Callithrix jacchus: one gene and its partners. The protein of the gene in region 3 interacts with the protein of the main gene of each other region in a biochemical or structural test. Links are inferred from orthologs where the notes say so. Each region holds a gene or a part of one and is shown on either strand. Other genes may lie near its edges.

Region 1 (6,229 bases), on a different chromosome or scaffold from region 3:
GCATGGTGGCATGCTATGCTACTTGGGAGGCTGGGGCAGGAGAATTGCTTCAACTCGGGAAGCGGAGGTTGCAGTGAGCCAAGATTGAGCCACTGCACTTCAGCCGAAGCGACAGAGCAAGATTCCATCTCATTAAAAAAAAAAAAAAAAAAATTAATCCATGTTCTATTTCAAAACATTGTGTTTTAATCTTACCCACAATATAGATGAGGACCTGAAGCATTTCTTCTATTAATGTATTATATTGTTTAATCAAATCCTACAGAATCAAAAAAGAATAAATTAGTATGGAAGAACCAAAAATCTCCATAAAACATGCATTTCTGGATCAGACTCATGGTCCATCCGGTTCAGTATTTTTTCATCCAGTACAGTATTTGCGTACGTGTATGTGCACAGCACAAATAGTTACAAGGTGAAGAGTTCCCTTTTTTGACATCAAATTCAACAATACCTGGCATACAATTGTTAAATACTGTCATTGTTTTCATTCTCATTATCCCCTGCATAGTCACCCGTCAGCACACTAATGCTAATCTTTAATTCATCCTCTATTATTGGCTGCCTTCTTATCTGGGGTAGTGAGAAAGTGCCTACAAATACATATTCAACAGTTATGCTGAGAGTATCCTTCTCTAATACACCCCTCATTTAAACACTATTAAATCAGATATTGATTTTCACTAAGTATAAAACACAACTAAAAATTAGCTCTGCATTTTACATCCTATTCATGTTAGCCCTTTGCAAGTAACTTCTATTTTTTCATTTAAAAAGTTTTTTTTATATATTTATTATTTTTCCAAAGAAACTTTACCAGCAGGAGTAACTTCTCATTTGAAAGAATAGAATAATGAGATTTCATGAATTCAAAGTAGTTAAGGCCTACTTTATAGGCTAATTCAAATATTAAAACAATAAAGATGTAGGCGGGCACAGTGGTTTATACCTATAATCCTAGCACTTTGGGAGGCCGGGGCACGCACATCACTTGAGCTCGGGAGTTTGAGACCACCGTGGCCAACATGGTGAAACCTCAACTCTACTAAAAATACAAAAAAGTAGCTGGGCTTGGTGGCTCATGCCTGTAGTCCCAGCTACTCAGGAAGCTGAGAAGAATCACTTAAATGGGAGATGGAGGTTGCAATGAGTCAAAATCGTACTGCTGCACTCCAGCCTGGGCAACAGAGTGAGACTCTGTCTCAGAAACAAATAATAAATAAAATAAAATTTGTATATTACCTCTGAGACAACAAAGATTGAAATACCAATGTCATTATAGATGTATATATTGCAAGAGAGAGCTTAAATAGGAATTTCTGACAGCAATTTGACAATATGTATTAAGAGCCTTAAGAAAAAGCATGTTGTTTTATCCAACAAATCCACTTATAAAAATGTATCTTAACAAAATAGTTAGACAAGTGTTTAAATAATGAGCTACAACTGTTTATAAGAACAACCAACTTCTCAAAAATAAATAAATAAACAAAATAAAATCAACCTGGCCAACATAATGAAATCTTGTCTCCACTAAAAATACAAAAATTAGCAGAGCATGGTGGCTAGTCTCAGCTACTCAGAGGCTGAGGCAGGAGAATCACTTGAACCCTGGAGGCAGAGGCTGTGGTGAGCCAAGATCACACCACTGCACTCCAGCCTGGGCAACAGAGCAAGACTACATCTCAAAAATAAATAAGTAAATAAATAAAAGGGCAACCAACTAGAAAGACCTCTTCAGTAACAGACTTTAAAGTATAATGCATCATATAGTGTAATCCTATATAATTATTTAAAATGATGATATAATTGCATATTTATTTCATGACAAGATGAAAAACCTTTGACAATATGTTAAGCATAAGAAGCAGATTACAAAACAACACATACAGAATGATACACTTTTTGTTTTAAAAACAAGCAAGACACCAAAACCTTAAAAGTGATCATTTCCAGGAAGCAGTGTTTTTCATGTGATTTTTTTCTTTGTTAACCTACATATTCTAATTTTTCTAGATTAAAAAGATTATACGTGTGTACCTATGTGTGCTATATATATCCATGTCATTTCAGGAGGTATGCATTAAGAAATAACTTTTAAAATATGACTAAATATGACTGAAATAAAATATGACTCAAAAAGTAACAATATTTCCTTTAAAATTAATTCACTTAATTTATAGGTTCTGTACCTGGTCTTTTGTAGATACAGTCTTGTTAAAAGCCTCGGCAAGTTCATACCTCTGAAGTACCAGTAACAAGAACTTATTGGGATCCATTAGAGATGCACCAATCTGTGAAAAAAAACCCAGCATTATATTTCTTGTGTATTGTATGGAGAAACATTTTGTCTCTTATAGGACGGTCAGAAAATTATAAAGTTTGTAGAAGATAATGAAATAGAATAGTCCCTTCTATTTCTATGATGTCATATTCAGTTTAATCGTGAGAATATTTTAAGTTAAAAATAATTACATTATCTTCTCTTATTACAAAGAATTTAAAAAGGAAGATTAAGACACAAATATCAGAAACAATTTAAACAGGTACCTGAAGCATGATGATATCTTTATCGTACATTTCTTCTCTGCACTTAACGTCTTGGTAATAAAACACCTATAAAATAATAGGTGGAATAAAGGCTAAAAGAATTATTTCAAGCAAATTTCTCAAGTAAACCTATCCTTAAAACTTTTTCTAAGCTAGAAACTCCTTAGTGGCAAAAAATAAGTTGTATATCAATGAATCATTTAAAGGGACTTGTGAGGATGAAGTGAAGAAATATGGCATGAAATCACTTCAGAGTTAAAAATGTTCTATATTAGTTATTACTCTTGTGTATAAAAAAAGAATTTTTATTTTCCCTAAGTTTAAAATACCTACTTCAATAAAAGTAAACCAATCAATAATAATATCATTTTTTCTTTGTTTTTAATTTTAAGTTCCGGGATACACATGCAAGCTATATAGGTTTGTTACATAGGTAAACATGTAATACCATTTTTCTTCTAAATGGTAACTTTTCAAGACCTATTTCCCCACCTTTTAAGAAAAGCAAGGCCAGGTGCAGTGGCTCACACCTGTAATCCCAGCACTTTGGGAGGGAGGCAGAGGCGGATCACCTTAGGTCAGAAGTTCAGGACCAGCCTGGCCAACCTGGTGAAACCTGGTCTCCACTAAAATTACAAAAATTAGCTGGGCATGGTGGCGCATGCATGTAGTCCCAGCCACTCGGGAGGCTGCGGCACAAGAATCACTTGAACCCGGGAGGTACAGACGGCAGTGAGCTGAGATAGCGCCACTGCACTCCACAGCCTGGACGATAGAGGGAGACTCGGTCTCAAAAAAAGAAAAAAAGAAAAGCACTACTCCATATTTACTCTAAAATAGAAGACAAAATTACAAGGTGGCCTTCAATTAAGACAGATAGTGGGAAGACTAAAGGCCTCCAAGTAAGGTAATTCTCAGAAAAGAACTATGTAACAGGGAGGTCCCTGGTGGTACTATTGACTCTCACCTAACTTATCATATAAGCACCCTAGTTTCTTATAATTCAGATGGAATACACAGTAAATAGGATAGGAGAAATGTCTATATAGTTCCTAGAACTTTCATTTCTAAGAGCTTATATAAGAGAATAGTGGCAAATCCTCAGTAAAATCCAGGGACATAGGGTAAAATTATGTAAGAGAAAAAAAACTAGAAAATGAACACATTCATAAATATGAATAATAGGTTTTGACATACCTGGCTAATAAGAGACAGCCCATTTCTTCGCCACATCTCAGCAACAACCTGGGCAACCAACACCAGACAACGTAAAGGATATTCCACTAATACCTCTACTTGAAAGTCCTCCTGAAATAGAGTGAGGCCAATTTTATCATTTCTCACAGAGCTTGGATGTGTCTCCAAGTTAGGGCACTACATATTTTTCAGTTTTCTCATGCGTAAAACGGAAGAGCTAGAACTAGATGTCTAAGTCCCATGATTCAGATTACAATATACTATATGAAGATGTAAAATTACTAAATAGGAATTATTCAGGTGGGTTTCCAAATATTATTTTCCTTCTTGTCCATCAACCAAGAGGTATTCAGAAATAGAACATAAGCAAATCAATACTTAGTAGAATCACTTACAAAAGACACAAATTCATGCAGTCTTGAAACAGCACCCAGCCTGCTTAAACGTACATGAAGACCTAAAATTAAAAAAAAAAAGAGAGAGAAAAATGAGAAAACAAACCCAATTTGTTAACTGGTTAACTCATCAAGTTTAAAAATTTGTGTAATTTGGCAGGCACGGTGGTTTAGAAATTTGTGTCATTTGGCCGAGCACAGTGGCTCACGCCTGTACTCCCAGCACTCTGGGAGGCCGAGGCAGGCAGTCACCTGAGGTCAGGAGTTCAACGACTAGCCTGGCCAACATGGTGAAACCTGCTTTCTACAAAAATACAAAAATCAGCCAGGCGTGATGGTGGGTGCCTGTAATCCCAGCTACTTGGGAGGCTGAAGCAGGAGAATTGCTTGAACCCGGGAGGCGGAGGTTGCAGTGAGTCAAGATCATGCCACTGTGCTCCAGCCCAGGCGACAGGGTGAGACTCCGTCTTTAAAGAAAAAAAACAAACAAAACTTGTGTGACTTAAAGTATATTTACTGAGTTTAGAAATAATACTCTAGAATGCAGATTGTTGATTTCTAATTTTGAAACACAATATTACTAACATATTTAAAATTCTACACTGTTTAAGGTGTGCTCATACCTTATATAAAAATAACATACTGTCTCTGAAGATATGTTTACTGCTTTTAGCCAAGCATCAAAAGAAATGAAAATTACCAGTTAAAACAATTCTTTAAGCAAAGGCGGGTGGGGGGAGAAAAAAAGAAATGAAAATTAATCTAAGTATTTTTTAATAAAAATAAAAGCAACATAAAATCCCATGATGTCAATTATACCATACATAAACATTAACTCAAAATGAATCAAAGACCTTAAACACAGGTTTAAATATAGGTGCTAAAACTAAAAAATAAAACTCAGAGAAGAAAACGAAGGGAAAGTCTTCAAAACATTAGATTTAACAATAAGGTTTTGGACATGACACCAAAAACACAGGCAACAAAAGAAAAAAATAGATAAACTGGACTACAACAAAAACACCTGTGAGGCCGGGTGCGGTGCTCACACTTGTAATCCCTGGATCACAAGGTCAAGAGATCGAGACCATCCTGGCCAACATGGTGAAACCCTGTCTCTACTAAAAATACAAAAAATTAGCCGGATGTGGCTGCACATGTCTGTAATCCCAGCTACTTGGGAGGCTGAGACAGGAGAATTGCTTGAACCCAGGAGGTGGATGTTGCGGTAAGCCAAGAATGCGCCACTGCACTCCAGCCTGGGCAGCAAGAGTGAAACACCGTCTCAAAACAAACAAACAAACCTGTGTATCAAAGGATACCATCATCAACAGGGTAAAAAGGCAACCCCCAGAATGGGAGAAAATATTTGTAAATCACATGTCTGTAAACAGTTATTATTTAGAATTAGATGGGCAGAACACTTGAATAGATAGTTCTCCAAAGATATACAAATGGACAATAAACATGTGAAAAGCTGATCAAAATCACTAATCACTAGGAGCATGTGAATCAAAAGCACCTGAGATACCACTTCAAATCCATTAGAATGGTTATTAATGGGGAGGGGTTGGAAGAAAAAATAGCAAGTGTTGGCAAGGATGTAGATAAACTGGAATCCTAGTGCATGCTGGTGGGAATGTAAAATGGTATAGCCACTAAGGAAAACAATATGATGGTTCCTCAAAAAACTAAAAATAGAATTCCCAAATAATCCAGCAATCCCATATTTGGGTATATTCCCAAAAAAATGAAAACAAGGACCTGAACAGATACTTCTACACCCATGTTCATAACAGCATTATTCACAACAGCCAAAAGGTAGTACAACCCAAGTGTCCATCAATGGATAAATGGATGAACAAAATGTGGTATATCCATACAATGGAATATTATTCAGCCTTTTAAAAAAAGGAAATTCTGGCACATGCTACAACATAAACCTGAGGACATTATGTTAGGTGAAATAAGCCAGTCGCAAAAGGATAAATACTGTATAAGTCCATTTATAATAGGTACCAAGAGTAGTCAAATTCATAGACATGGAGAGTGGTAGTTGCTAGTGGGTGTGGGGAAGGGGCAATGGG
Region 2 (6,229 bases), on a different chromosome or scaffold from region 3:
CCTACTCATTCAGAGCCACGTGGCAGGCCCATGATCTGAACCCCCCAAAGGCCTGGGGCTGGCACCAGATACTCCTCCTGTTTTCTCCAGCCCGTCTATGCTTTGTCCATCCTCCTTTCCTGTCCTGGGCCCCCATCCCGTACCTTCTCAAAGTCGATGGGGTACATCTTGAATCCAGGGAGCTTGTCTGGGCTGGGCAGAGTGGCTTTGAGCTCCTCTAGACGGCTGTCATCTGCATGAAGAGAGGAACACTGTCAGCCCTTTAGATCCCAAGCTAAGGTCTGAGGTGGAAATGGGAGCCCAGGGTGGGGCAAAAGGTATTCGGGTAGAAAAAGGATTTGGAAAGGAGAGACATCCTGGGAGAGAAAAGGGACAAGGAGGAGAGGTAGAGGAGAACAGAGTACAGACCTGAAAAACAGAGACTAAGAGCTGAGACTATCAAGAGCAACCTCTAAAGACACTAAGGAACGGAAATGAACATGTTGGAATAAAGTGGAGATGGGCAAATCAAGATGGAAGACGTAAAGATCTTGGGAAGAATGTAGAGCAAGATGGAACATACAGGGAAGAAAAGGGGAGTACAAAAGATATATGGAGGGGAAATTGGGGGAAATGTACAGATATAGATACCGAGGAGAGATATGGGGGGAGATGGAGAAGATACAAAAGGGGGAGAGTAGGGGTATATACAGAGGGCAAGACAGGTGGGAGGAGAAAAATGGAGGAAATATATGAAGGCGATGAGAGATATGGAAGGAAAGATTGAAAGACATACACAGAGGAACATGAAGCAGATATTTCAGAAGGAAGATAGGGACCATGGAAAGGGAAATGGGAAATTTATGGAGAGGAAGACAGGGGAGATATAAGGAAGGTAAATGTAGGGGCGTTACAGAGCTACAGAAGCATTATATACAGAAGGGAAGGGCAATGGAAAAATATGTATAGACGAGGGCTGGGAGGAGGGTGTCAGTAAACTGCAGCCCCAAACTATGGAGGGTGAAGATGCATACAGAGAAACATGGAGGTAGATGTATAGATCAGGGCGGATCTGGAAGGAGACAAGGCAGGAAGGTATCAAGGGAGAGAGACCGCTGGTGGAGATCATACCTCCTAGATGAACAGATTAAGAAACAGAAGAAAAAACAAAACTCAGGGAAATACACAGGGCAAGAATAAAACAGCAAGTTCTCCTGAGTGCAGAGAGTGGGAAGGAAGGAGGGAAATAATCTGCCCCAACCGACCCTCTTCATGTTAAAGGGAGGCTCAAACGAAGGTATGGGTAAACCTCAGGCCTGGGGTCCCAGAGCAGAGCAGAGCCAGGGGTACAGGACTGGTGGGGACGCTGGACTAGGCAGGGGACATGTGGAGGTGACTCCTGGCCAACTGGCCAAACACCCTCACCAACAGAGGCATTGGCGCTCTGCAGCTCCTGGTCAGAAACGTGGATCTTGACGCCAGATTTGGGGGTGAATTCAGGGACCTGCACAGACTGCAGGAGTGTGGCCACAGCAGCTCGGTCCTGAGAGCCTGTCAGCCCATAGGTCTGGGCAAACAGGTTGGCAGCAGCCATCACATAGTCCAGATGCAGGGGCTAGGAGAAGGCAGGGCAGGAAAAGGTGAGCACATAGTCCTTGAGTGGGGAACCGCCACCTCCTTCCCACCTACTCACCCTCCACCTGACCCCAGGAGACCCCAGAGAGGAGACTTACGTTGTTGACATCAAAGGTGAGCGGGTGTGGACAGCGTTTGGGCCCAGACCAGAACGGGGCTCCCGAGCTGGTGAGCTATAAGGGATGAAGAGATTTTTGAGAACAGGACCTGACAGTGAAGGCCTCTCTGACAACCTTGACGCTTCACGTAGGCCCCAGAGGTGCCCCTAACTCACTATCTTGAGTTGGGTACTCGATGGGGGCTGGAGTCAACCACAAATGACCCCAACTGTAGGGTCCCACAAGGTTGAACCAGAGATCAGGCTGAGAGAACAATTACCAATCCCTGGGAAGGCATTTTGTGCTAGATAGCCTATCATTTAACAAATTCTCATGGATTACAGGGCATTGTACTAACTTCATATTAATAAATACCAGTTAATCCTCCCCAAACCCCCCATGAGGTAGATTACTATTATTTCTACTTCACAGATGAGGAAACTGAGGTACAGAGAGAAGTTACGTGATTTGCCTAAGTTCGAGTCTGGATTTGAACCCACATTGATTCCTGTGCTCTTAACCCCAGAATTTCTCCCCCACACTCCCTACAGCCCTGACGGGGAATTAGGTATGACTCAGTCCATACCACAGTCAAGGGAAACAGCGACCAAGCCTCTTGCTCAAAGGAACTAGGGTGGGAAAAAAGCAGGTCAGGCTCAATCACTCTTCTCAGATCCCCATGCCTCAGGGCACCTGCTACAGCTGGACTGAGGACCCACACTGAGAGCCCACAGCAGGCTCCCATTTCAGGGAAACACATTCTGCCAAATGCACCCAACAAATGGGCATTACCTGGTCAGGAGGGAAGTTGTGCAGCAGCTGCCGGATGTTGTTTGAGTACTGGGTGTGCCAGTGGTGGCAGGCCCAGGTCACGCAGTCAGCCCAGGTCTGTGGTCGCTGCAGCACCAGGCTGCGCTGCACAGCCTCCAGCACCTCCAAGGGCTGGGTGCCTGCCAGCCGCAGTGTTCGCTCCACAAACTTGGGGTCTCTATCAGGAATTGAAGAGAGAGGACAGGATTATACCTCAGCCTCAGGAATGGGCTTCAGAGCAATCTTACTTTCTCCGTGGAAAACTAGTCCCGACCCCTAACAGCATGAGGCCCAAGCAGCCACTCATTCATGTGAAAAGTATACCTGGTGCCAAGTGTGTTACTGTGATGAGGAGAGCAGGCGGGATGCCCTGGCTGGTGGAGGGACAGGGCAAGAGGGCACTCAAGTTACTCACGTGAGGTACTGGTTGACGTTTTCTGCTGGCTGCTTGAAGAGGCCTTCAAACTCATCCCGAGCCCACTGCAGACACAGCAAACGGATTACATGTGGCCACAGTTGACAAAATGGGTTTCCGCAGACATTAGAAAGATCATTAGTGAATAAAGCAAGGAGGCGGCACACAGCTGTTCTGCAAGGCTCCCCAGCCTTCCCCACTCCCCCACCTTAATCGAAAAACCAGGCCGGGCGCAGTGGCTCACGCCTGCAATCCTAGCACTTTAGGAAGCTAAGGCGGTGGTTCATCTGAGGTCATGAATTCGAGACCAGCCTGACCAACATGGTGAAACCCTGCCTCTACTAAAAATACAAAACTTAGCTGGGTATGATGGCAGACGCCTGTAATCTCAGCTACTCGGGAGGCTGATGCAGGAGAATTGCTTGAACCTGGGAGGCGGAGGTTGCAGTGAGCTGAGATCACACTACTGCACTCTAGCCTGGGCAACAGAGCAAAACTCCGTCTCAAAAGAAAAAGGCCAGGCCTGGTGGCTCAGGCCTGTAATCCCAGCACTTTGGGAGGCTGAGGTGGGCAGATCATTTGAGGTCAGGAGTCCAAGACCAGCCTGGCCAACATGGTGAAACCCTGTTTCTACTAAAAATACAAAAATTAGCCAGCCGTGGTGGCACATTGCCTGTAATCCCAGCTACTTGGGAGGCTGAGGCAGAATTGCTTGAACCCAAGGGGTGGAATTTGCAGTGAGACTGTGCTACTGCACTCCACCCTGGGCAACAAAGCGAGACTCCACCTCAAAAAAAAAAAAGAAAAAGAAAAACCAATGAACTTTATCTGCGCAGCGGTTACAATAGTGTTATGCACATGTGGAAAACTGTTTTGTTTGAGACAAAGTCTCGTTCTGTCACCCAAGCTGGAATGCAGCAGCACAATCATGGCTCACAGTAGCCTTGACCTCCCAGGCTTAAACAATCCTCCCACCTCAGCCTCCTGAGTAGCTGGGACCACAGGCACATGCCACCACACCTGGCTAATTTTTAAAAATTTATTGTAGAGACAGGGCCGTGCTATATTGCCCAGACTGGTCTTGAACTCCTGGCCTCAAGCAATCCTCACATCTTGGTCTCCTGAATGCTGAGATTAGAGGTGTGAGCCACGCCTAAAAATATATTAAGATCTGTGTACCTCATTCTAGATATGTTATGCCTTCATAAAAAAGAAAAACTTCAGTTAAGTATATCTTACCATAATTTTTAAAAAAGAAAAAGAAAAAACTCAGACCAAACCACAAATGATCCCTATCCAGGCCCCGAGGACTCGGCAGAAAACAAGACAGAGGCCGGACACAGCGGCTCACACATGTAATCCCAGCACTTTTTGAAGCTGAGGCAGGTGGATCACTTGAGCCCAGGAGTTTGCAACCTGTCTGGTCAATATAACAGGAACACACACACACACTTCCCAGGAGTTCAAGGTTGCAGTGAGCTATGAATTGTGCCAACGCACTCTAACCTGAGTGACAGAGTGAGATCCTGTCTCCAAAAATAAAATAGCAAACAAGACAGAGCTTCTGGCCTCTGAGAATTCCTAAGACAGTTTGCAGTCATTAGTGTGGTGGTTTGGAGGGTACAAATGTTAGAAATTCAGGTTTAGATTTCAGCTGTGCGCATATTACCTAGTCTTGTGACTTCAGGCACGCAGGGTAACATCTTTACCTCCATGCCTCATCTCTATAACAGATGTTACAACAGTAATACCTACTTCATGGGGTTGCTAGGAAGAAATGTGCAAATACGTATATATTTAAAGCTTGTTTAAAACAGTGCCAGGCACACAGTAAATGCCAAGTGGTTCACAATAGCCCTGTCAGGTAGATACTACTGTCATTCCCATTTTACAGAGCAGGAATCTGAGGCACAGAGAGGTTAAGTTCAAGGTTACACATGACCTAGTAAGACTGTGGTGGGTGCAAAAATACAAACATATCCACTCGGAACCACAGGGTCAGAAGAGAAAGTGACAGATGGAGCTGGTTTTTTTTTCCTCTTCCCTGTTTTGTTCCCACCCTCATACTCCTACTATTCTAAATGGTTTGGCCTCAAACACTGTACTAAGAATTATTCTGATAGCACAATCGTAATCCCTAGGTCTGTTTCTTGGCCCAGGTGCTAGTCACCTGTGTATTCACTTTGTAAAACTTCAGCTAGATCAAACGTCTCATCTGTGGCCCATATGCGGCCCAAGACGGCTTTGAATGGTGCCCAAAACAAATCTATAAACTTTCTTAAAAACACTATGAGATTTATGCGTGGACCTTTTTTCTTTTGTTTTTTTCAGCTCATCAGCTATCGTTAGTGTTAGTATATTTTATGTGTGGCCTGAGACAATTCTTCCAGTGTGGCCCAGGGAAGCCAAATGATTGGATACCCTCGAGCTAGATGTTAGTTATGTGCACTGTTCTGCAGGTACATATACCATACACACAGAATCATCCTGACAAACCAGCTATTAAACTCATTTTGAGCAACAGCTGGGGAAAACCTGAATATGGACTGAGTATTAGAGACAAATAGATAACTGGAAGAGATAGTAAGAAATTATTGCTAATTTTGTTCAGCATGAAGATGATGTTTTGGTTAGACAGAAGTAGTTCTCAACTGGGAGTGATGTGGCACCTCTGGGGACATCTGGCAATATCTGGAGACATTTTCAGATGTCATGATGGAGGGGGAGTGCTATTGGCATCTAGTGGGCAGAAGTCAGGAATGCCAAGAAACATCTTATAGTGCACAAGGCACCCCCCCCCGCCATGACAAAGAAATATCCAGCCCCAAATGTCAGTAGTGCTGAAGCTCCAACCCTGTTCTATAGGAACATTTCCTCACTTGGCAGAGGCACTGAAATAGTAGGGAGTAAAGGATTATGATGTCTGTGACACATTTAAGCATGAAGAAAAATCTATATAAATCTAAGAAGGAAATGTGGCAAAACATTAAGCATTGTTAAATGTAGGTGAGGAATGGTATTTGAGTATTCATAATATTCTTAATATTTGTTGAAAAATTTTTGAAAAATTTCAACAAAAATTTTTTTCTGTATGCTGAAAAAAATTTTGAAATAAAAGTGAAAAAGTAATGAGTCATTCTAGAAACCTAGGCTGCCTTGTAGGAAGTAAAGGAGGGAGGCTTGGAAAAAAGGCACATTTTACACTTAGGCATGCAACATCTGAAGGCAAGGCAAGGCAAGGGCCTGGGGGCCAAGAGGCAGCGGCCCGGCCAGATGCCTGGCTTCTTTCCCT
Region 3 (6,985 bases):
AAAAAAAAAAGAACCCTCCCTCACAACATGTCAAACTTCTAGGCAAGCAAGTAATTCGAAGGGTTCTACTATATTGGAAGTGATGTACAAGGGCACAGAAATAAAGATGCCGGAGTCTAATTGCTTAAGTAGACAGAGTTCAGCTGAAGTGACAGTCCCTAATGAATAACCACCACATCACTAGAGCAAGTCCCTAAGGAGTGCTTTTTTTTTTTTTTTTTGAATAGAGCTCTTTTTTTCTTTTTTCTGTAAAAAAAAGTCAGCCCTGTTCACGCCACTGCACTCCAGCCTGGGTGACAAAGCAAGACTGTCTCAAAAAAGAAAAAGAAAAAATTTTCCCAGGAGAAAAATGAACCAAATGGAGTCCCTTCCCTGCCCTCAGTGAGTTCATAATCCAGAGCTACAGAATTGATAACAGCATACAATTGATAGCTTTAAAATTATTCCTTCTACAAGTAGGTTGTGGCAGGCCTGGTTAACCAGGACAGCCAGTGATTCTTGCTAATACACAATTGTAAGACTTTATGATGCAGATTCACTGAATTAATCAAAGTGTTATTTCATTTTGGAAAATAAACTGTTTCCAAAACAATTGTAAATCCCTGTAGTCACTGAATTCCTTATCTCTGTTGCCTCCAGTTCCCATCTTCAGTATTTCGTTGGTCAGTCAAGAGGATTCTGAGCACATTTGTATCCATTTAGGAAATTCTTCAGCTCAACAGGGAAAGGGAGGGAGGGAGGAAGACCTCACCATTTTCCTAATCTTGCCCATAGTTCCATGGAACCAGAAAAGGTTAACTTTTTCCACTTTCCTTGTACCTCCCTTTCTGCAAACCCTGAATTGTTTCTGCTTTCAGTGACTGCCTTAACTGGTAAATTATAAGGTGTTTTTGTTTTTGTTTTTGTTTTTTTTTGTCAAGGTCTCAGTGGCACGATGATGGTTCACTGCAGCTTCAACTTCCTCGGCTCAAGCGATCCTTCTGCCTCAGCCTCCCAGGTTGCTGGGACTACTGGTGTATGTCACCACGCCTAGCTAATTTTACTTTTTGCAGAGACAGGATCTCCTGTTTTGCACAGGCTGGTCTCAAACTTATGGCCTCCCAAAGTATTAGGATTACAGGCATGAGCTTATGTCTCAGCTCATGCCGAATATTTTTAAGATACAGTTTCTCTTGACCATTTTTCTCCATGTAACCTTACATGTGTATCTTTCTCTTTTGTTATCGGAAGGGTTAGGACTGCAATGGCAGAAAGGCAAAAAAATTAAGAATATTCAGCTTTTGACTTAGAAAACACATTGTGAAATGTTTAACAGGACCTATCAAGAGTTAGGCCTGCCTAACTCGATTACCGAGGCAGTCACTGGAAGCAGAGAGAGAATTCAGGGTTTAAAGAGGAAGATGCAAGGAAAGTCGGAAAAGTTAACTCTGCTTCCATGGAACTATGGGCAAGGTTGAGGCAATGCTAAGGTCTTCATTCCACCTTCCCTTTCCCTGTTGAGCTGAAGGATTCCTCAGTACTCAGAGTCCTTAGTATAACAAAGTCCTGAGGGTAGGAACTGGAAGCAATAGAGGGAAGGACAGTAACTACAGAAAATATTCAAGGTCTGTGGGAGATCAACACTTTTGAACCCCCCTGGTGATGGGGGGGCACTTCTGGCCCATTTGCACTTTACTTGCTAGTGTAGAAAACCTAAAGTTATCTCAGGCTAGATTTATTTTTTTGTTTTGTTTTGTTTTGAGACAGAGTTTTGTTCTTGTTACCCAGGCTGGAGTGCAACGGCGCAGTCTCGGCTCACTGCAGCCTCCACCTCCTGGGTTCAAGCAATTCTGCCTCAGCCTCCCGAGTAGCTGGGACTACAGGCGCACGCCACCATGCCCAGCTAATTTTTGTATTTTTAGTAGAGACGGTGTTTCACCTTGTTGACCAGGATGGTCTCGATCTCTTGACCTCGTGATCCACTCGCCTCAGCCTCCCAAAGTGCTGGGACTATAGGCGTGAGCCATCGCACCGGGCCTTCAGGCTAGATTTATAACCCTCACTCATATCTACAGGAGCTCTCCCCCAGGTATAAATCATATTTGTAGGTTTCTTTGACAACCAACCACTCATTGATAAGCCTGGAAGTCTGCAACCCCACATTCCTTAAAAATATACAATGGTACAACCCCCTATAGGCAAGTCCCGGACTCTGACACATATCTTCAAATGAAAGCAGACCCAGAAAGGAAAAACTGCATAATACACCATCCTTTAATGTTTGCCCAAAATTTTCAATACTAGAAACCCCACTGCAAAGCTGAAAGACTATTTGGTAGCTTCAAGGAAGCATTGCAGGATATTGTTGTGTGGGCCTCAACATTCAATGCTGCCTTAGAAGATCGTGCAATACCCTTCTTGCCCCAATAGCAGAGTTGATAAGCCACTGAACCAACCAGAGGGGAATTATTTTTGGTCCCGGTTTAAAGAAAACAAAACGTGACTCATGCCTGTAATCCCAGCACTTTGAGAGACCCTGCCTCTACAAAATGTAAAATAAATAAATAATTTTAAAACCCTCAAAAAAAAAAACAAAACAAAACAAAACAAAACAAGCTGTTGATTCTGCCATGATCTCTTGGGTAATGATGTCTCTAACCTGTAATAAACAGGAAACAACTAATAAAGGTGTAATCTCCCTTGAACCAGCTTCATAGAGCTGGCTGAAACTCACATAGAGGCGAGGCTTTCACGTGACCCATTCTAAAGGCGTCATAGGGACACGTGGTTCTAGATACTTCTCCCCCTCCCCCTCAGGGGTGGATTGTTGACAAGGCCACGGTCAGTCACGTGATCTTACGTCATCCCACCTCCTTTCCCTGAAATCTCTGGCCCGGATGAGTCCCCCCTCTCTCCACCCCGCCGAGTCTAAACTAATGACGGGGAGGGGGACAGATAGTGTTTCGGTTCCGTGGTCTCTGAATCCACAACCTCTAGTGTAAGCACAGAGTACACAAACTTGCCGATCATTTCAGGAAGCCCAGGCTGAACCCAGCCCCGCAGAAGGGCTCGGAGAACGCGCGCTCCAGCGTCCCGCCCCCTCCTCCCCCAACGCTCTTCCGTGGTAGCGGCGGAGGGCGGAGGGATCCGGAGGGCGGAGGGATCCGGAGGCGGCGGAGGGAGACGTCATTGCAGGGTTGTTTGTCAGTCTCGGCGACGGCAGCAGCGGCAGCTACCCACAGTGATTTGGCCGCCGCGCCGGGGGGTGGGGGGGCTGCGCGGGACTCTTTTCTTTCAGACTGACCGCGGGGCAGCTGGGGAGCATGTCGACCCCGGCCCGGAGAAGGCTCATGCGGGATTTCAAGCGGTAAGGGCCTTCACGTCCGCCTAGATGACGGCCCCTCAAAGCTGCGGGGCTGCAGGGTGGGGATCCCGGACACCTTCCCCTTGTGACCCTCCGAGGGCCGGCTGTGGGCCCAGCAGAACTGGCAGAAGCCGGGTCCTAGCCTCGGCTTCCACTACCTTATCCTTGCCTCTCGTTTTGGCGGCCGAATAAATTTCGATACTCCTCCTACCCCCAAAAAGTAAAACGGTGTCGATCGACTGGCCTAGGGTTCCCTGCTGCCCTTTTCGGCCAGCTGCCCGGCGATCAGATTTCCTCCACCCGCCCCTGCACCCTGCGGCGCCCCCTTCTTGTCCTCTTAAAGTAAGCTCCTGCGGGAGTTTGTTCCTCGCCGGCTGCACCGGTCAGCTTTGTTTCACTGCCCCGCCGTCTTCTCCGAGGAGCCGGGTTGGGGCGAAACCCCCCGCACCACGCCCCGGTCCTTTCCATTTCTACCGTGAGGGTGGGGTCCAGTGCGTGAGGCCCGGAGCTTAACCCATCCCCCGAAACCCGACTCTGTCCCCGCCCGCCTGAAAGGACCTTGGGAACCGACTTAGAGATCTGGGACCTCAGAGCTGGCCACCCCGGCTGCCAGTGCCTTCTGGAACTCAGCTCTGGCTGGTGAAGAAAGCCCTATCTATAGCCTCCCGAGTCTGGAAAAATGCCTTCCCTTAGACGGGCGCTAATTTGATACTCCCTGGGCCTCCTTTGGTAAATAAATAGGGTTTTAACTGTTAGGAGGTATTGGGGTTGTGAGAAAGAGAATGATTAGTCCGTCGTTTGCCTTTAATTGGATACTTAGAGACATAGAAAAACATGTGAGAAAACAGCATTTTGATAACTCTGCACGTTTTTCTTAAAATTTTTTTTGGGGATACCTGCCCTAATTGAGACAAAATATCTGGCCTAAAAACTTAGATTTGTCGCTCAGGAAGTCGCCTCTCAACTCAGCCATTATAAAGCCTATGTGAAGCATTTGGAAGCCATCCATTGTTTTGGGCTTTGGCCAACTTATTTAATTCATTGGTAGCTTCTCTTAGCCATTTAAAGGTAGGCGTCAAGCAGTGCAGTTCTTGTGAGGCTTCTGTTCGTGGCGGCCTAATTTGCTTGAAATTGACTAAAAACCTTTTTTTTTTTTAATGTGGACTAGTTGCAAAGTGTGATGCCCCATGAAAACGACTGCATATGTATTTGTGTGTATAATGTAGCATTTTTAATTGACACTACAGTCTCTGAAAGGAGATGCCCTTTTTTGTGCAAAAGTTATCTTTCTAAAGCTTGAAATTAGTGTATTTGCTTGGCACTTGTGACTAAAATTCAAATAGCAATTTAGTTCACGTCATTGTCTCCCTGGCTCCTTACTGTAATGCTCTGCTTAATTCTGAGTTGAGTATATGACACCTTTTGAAGTTTTCCAAAGGTCTGCAGGTTATAAGAATTTGAGGAATGTTGGAAAGCCTTGTATTGAGTCTCCTGATCTGAGAGGTAGATTTGGTGTTAGTGCAGAGCCTTAAAATAGGGACTGGCAGAAAACCTACTGATTACTTTTTAAAGCCATTGCCGTTTGAAGCAAAAGGGATAAAGTAAATCTGCCTAATACTAGTTTTGTAATTAACGTGTTTTCAGTCATTAGTGTTTACACTGAGGTTTGCTTTTCTTTTTTTAGCCATTTTGCAGAAGTACCTGTGGTTAAGACACACAGTCTTTGGATGGTTAGAGCAGCAAAATCGATGGTTCTGTAAAAATATTATTTGCTTTTGAGTTTTTAAACTTTTTTTTGGTTTAAGAGGACAGTCTGTATGCATCAATTCTTGAAGAGATAATAATCTTGATAATATTGAAAAAGGGATGATTCTCAAGCCTTTTACATTTTTAGATAATTTGGAGAGGTATTTAATAAGTGTATATACCTGGTTAATATATTTAAGTCATAGGGTTCATTTTAGTTCACAGTAACAAGGAAATGGAGTTAGTCCCTGTGTCACAATAGATGGTATAGTGTCTGTAGGTGTTTATGTGGCCTCCTTAGTGGCCTTAATGTTCAACTTTTTAAATTACCACTCCGGATTTCTAGGTTACAAGAGGACCCACCTGTGGGTGTCAGTGGTGCACCATCTGAAAACAACATCATGCAGTGGAATGCAGTTATATTTGGGTGAGTTGAAAGGTTTATAATAGGTGTGTGTTGAATCTTTAAGTGAATATATAACAACTGCCTAGGAAAAGAAACTGGGGTGGATTGAGAGATCTTCAGGACTAAAACTACAAGATAAATTAGAAAAAAATTTTTTTAATTAGAATTTTAGCTCATGCCTAGGAGGATCGCTTGAACCCAGGAGTTCATCACCAGCCTGAGCAATATAATGAAACAGTGAGTCTCTCTCTCCCTGCCCCCCAAAAAAAGGAGTTTTGGCCCAGCCTGGGCAACATAGTGAGACCTCATCTCTACAAAAAGTATAAAACTAGCTGGGCATAGTGGTGCACACCTGTGGTCCCAGCTACTTGGAAGGCTGAGGCAGGAGGATCACTTGAGCCCAGGAATTTGAGTGCCATGATTATGCCACTGCACTCCAGCCTGGGCAGCAGAACCAAGACCCTTATGTTTCAAAAAAAAAAGGAAAAAAATTTCAGCAGTTATATACAATTTATTTGCTCTTTTATTATAGGGTTTTATAATCACTTCAGGTTTTACTTTAAAATACTATTCAAAACTATATGGAATGGAATAATAAAGGAGAAAATATAAATTATTTTGTATAAAATATACCATGCAAATGCTTTAATTCTGTTGGAGCTATTACAAGATTTGGAACCAAAAATATTAAGAACTTCTACTGTGGCAAGTATTTAAGTGAAAAGGATTCACAGCCCGGTGTGAAGTAGCAGAATGCAGCCATTTGAGGAGTTGTAAATTTTACGTACTATATATGTTGCATATATGCTTTTTAATTTAAATTTTCCTTATGCTTTTTCTTTGGTTTTTCTAGACTTGATCTGTTTTTTCTTTCATTCCTTTGAAACTCGAGATATGCATTAAAAAGTAAAAGGAATATGTTGATAAACAGAATTCTGATACTCCAGTTCAGCTACAAGAGTCTACATTTAAAGACTAGTGGAAAATGAGTGAGGTTCACCCTCATAAAGCACTTCTGTTATATTCAGGGTATTATCTGGCTACTTTGAGATCCTGAATATGCCTTGCAAGTAATAATTAAACCTTGTGCTGCTGCTTAGGAAGTATGAAATTGGGATGTGGTGGCAAGGATCTGAACAAGAGAATCTGGCTTTTTGGTGACAGCAGCTATGCTTAGCCTATTTGAACAAACGTTATGCATCTGTTGGAAAGCAGGACACTTGGGTTTAGCATCATAACTAAAGACTATTGCTTTCCATCTTATTGCTGTTAAATGAAAAAGATGACTTTTTCTCTTAAGAATATACATATGTGGCCAGGCATGGTGGCTCACGCCTGAAATCCCAGCACTTTGGGAGGCTGAGGCGTGTGGATCACCTGAGGTCAGAGTTCAAGACCAGACTGACCAACATACTGAAACCCTGTCTCTACTAAAAATACAAAAATTAACCAGGTGTGGTGGCACATGCCTATAATTCCAGCTACTTGGG

What was found.
Region 1: the proteins of UBE2B (region 3) and UBR1 form a complex in vitro, tested with the Homo sapiens proteins (2 studies listed by BioGRID and IntAct, with this or other methods). The link is inferred for Callithrix jacchus from reciprocal best matches to the Homo sapiens genes UBE2B and UBR1.
Region 2: of the proteins of UBE2B (region 3) and UBA1, one has a biochemical effect on the other in vitro, tested with the Homo sapiens proteins (10 studies listed by BioGRID, with this or other methods). The link is inferred for Callithrix jacchus from reciprocal best matches to the Homo sapiens genes UBE2B and UBA1.

Annotation. Positions count from the first base shown.
Region 1 is NC_133509.1:30,775,236-30,781,464, forward strand, and holds part of UBR1 (E3 ubiquitin-protein ligase UBR1), read right to left. Parts: intron 4,205-6,229; coding exon 4,143-4,204; intron 3,859-4,142; coding exon 3,748-3,858; intron 2,617-3,747; coding exon 2,551-2,616; intron 2,295-2,550; coding exon 2,193-2,294; intron 260-2,192; coding exon 196-259; intron 1-195. UniProt on the Homo sapiens protein: E3 ubiquitin-protein ligase which is a component of the N-end rule pathway. Recognizes and binds proteins bearing specific N-terminal residues that are destabilizing according to the N-end rule, leading to their ubiquitination and subsequent degradation.
Region 2 is NC_133524.1:48,167,562-48,173,790, reverse strand, and holds part of UBA1 (ubiquitin-like modifier-activating enzyme 1), read right to left. Parts: intron 3,003-6,229; coding exon 2,938-3,002; intron 2,701-2,937; coding exon 2,505-2,700; intron 1,788-2,504; coding exon 1,713-1,787; intron 1,595-1,712; coding exon 1,405-1,594; intron 233-1,404; coding exon 144-232; intron 1-143. UniProt on the Homo sapiens protein: Catalyzes the first step in ubiquitin conjugation to mark cellular proteins for degradation through the ubiquitin-proteasome system.
Region 3 is NC_133503.1:32,756,680-32,763,664, forward strand, and holds the start of UBE2B (ubiquitin-conjugating enzyme E2 B), read left to right. Parts: upstream 1-3,182; 5' UTR 3,183-3,302; coding exon 3,303-3,346; intron 3,347-5,435; coding exon 5,436-5,516; intron 5,517-6,985. UniProt on the Homo sapiens protein: E2 ubiquitin-conjugating enzyme that accepts ubiquitin from the ubiquitin-activating enzyme E1 and transfers it to a E3 ubiquitin-protein ligase. In vitro catalyzes 'Lys-11'-, as well as 'Lys-48'- and 'Lys-63'-linked polyubiquitination.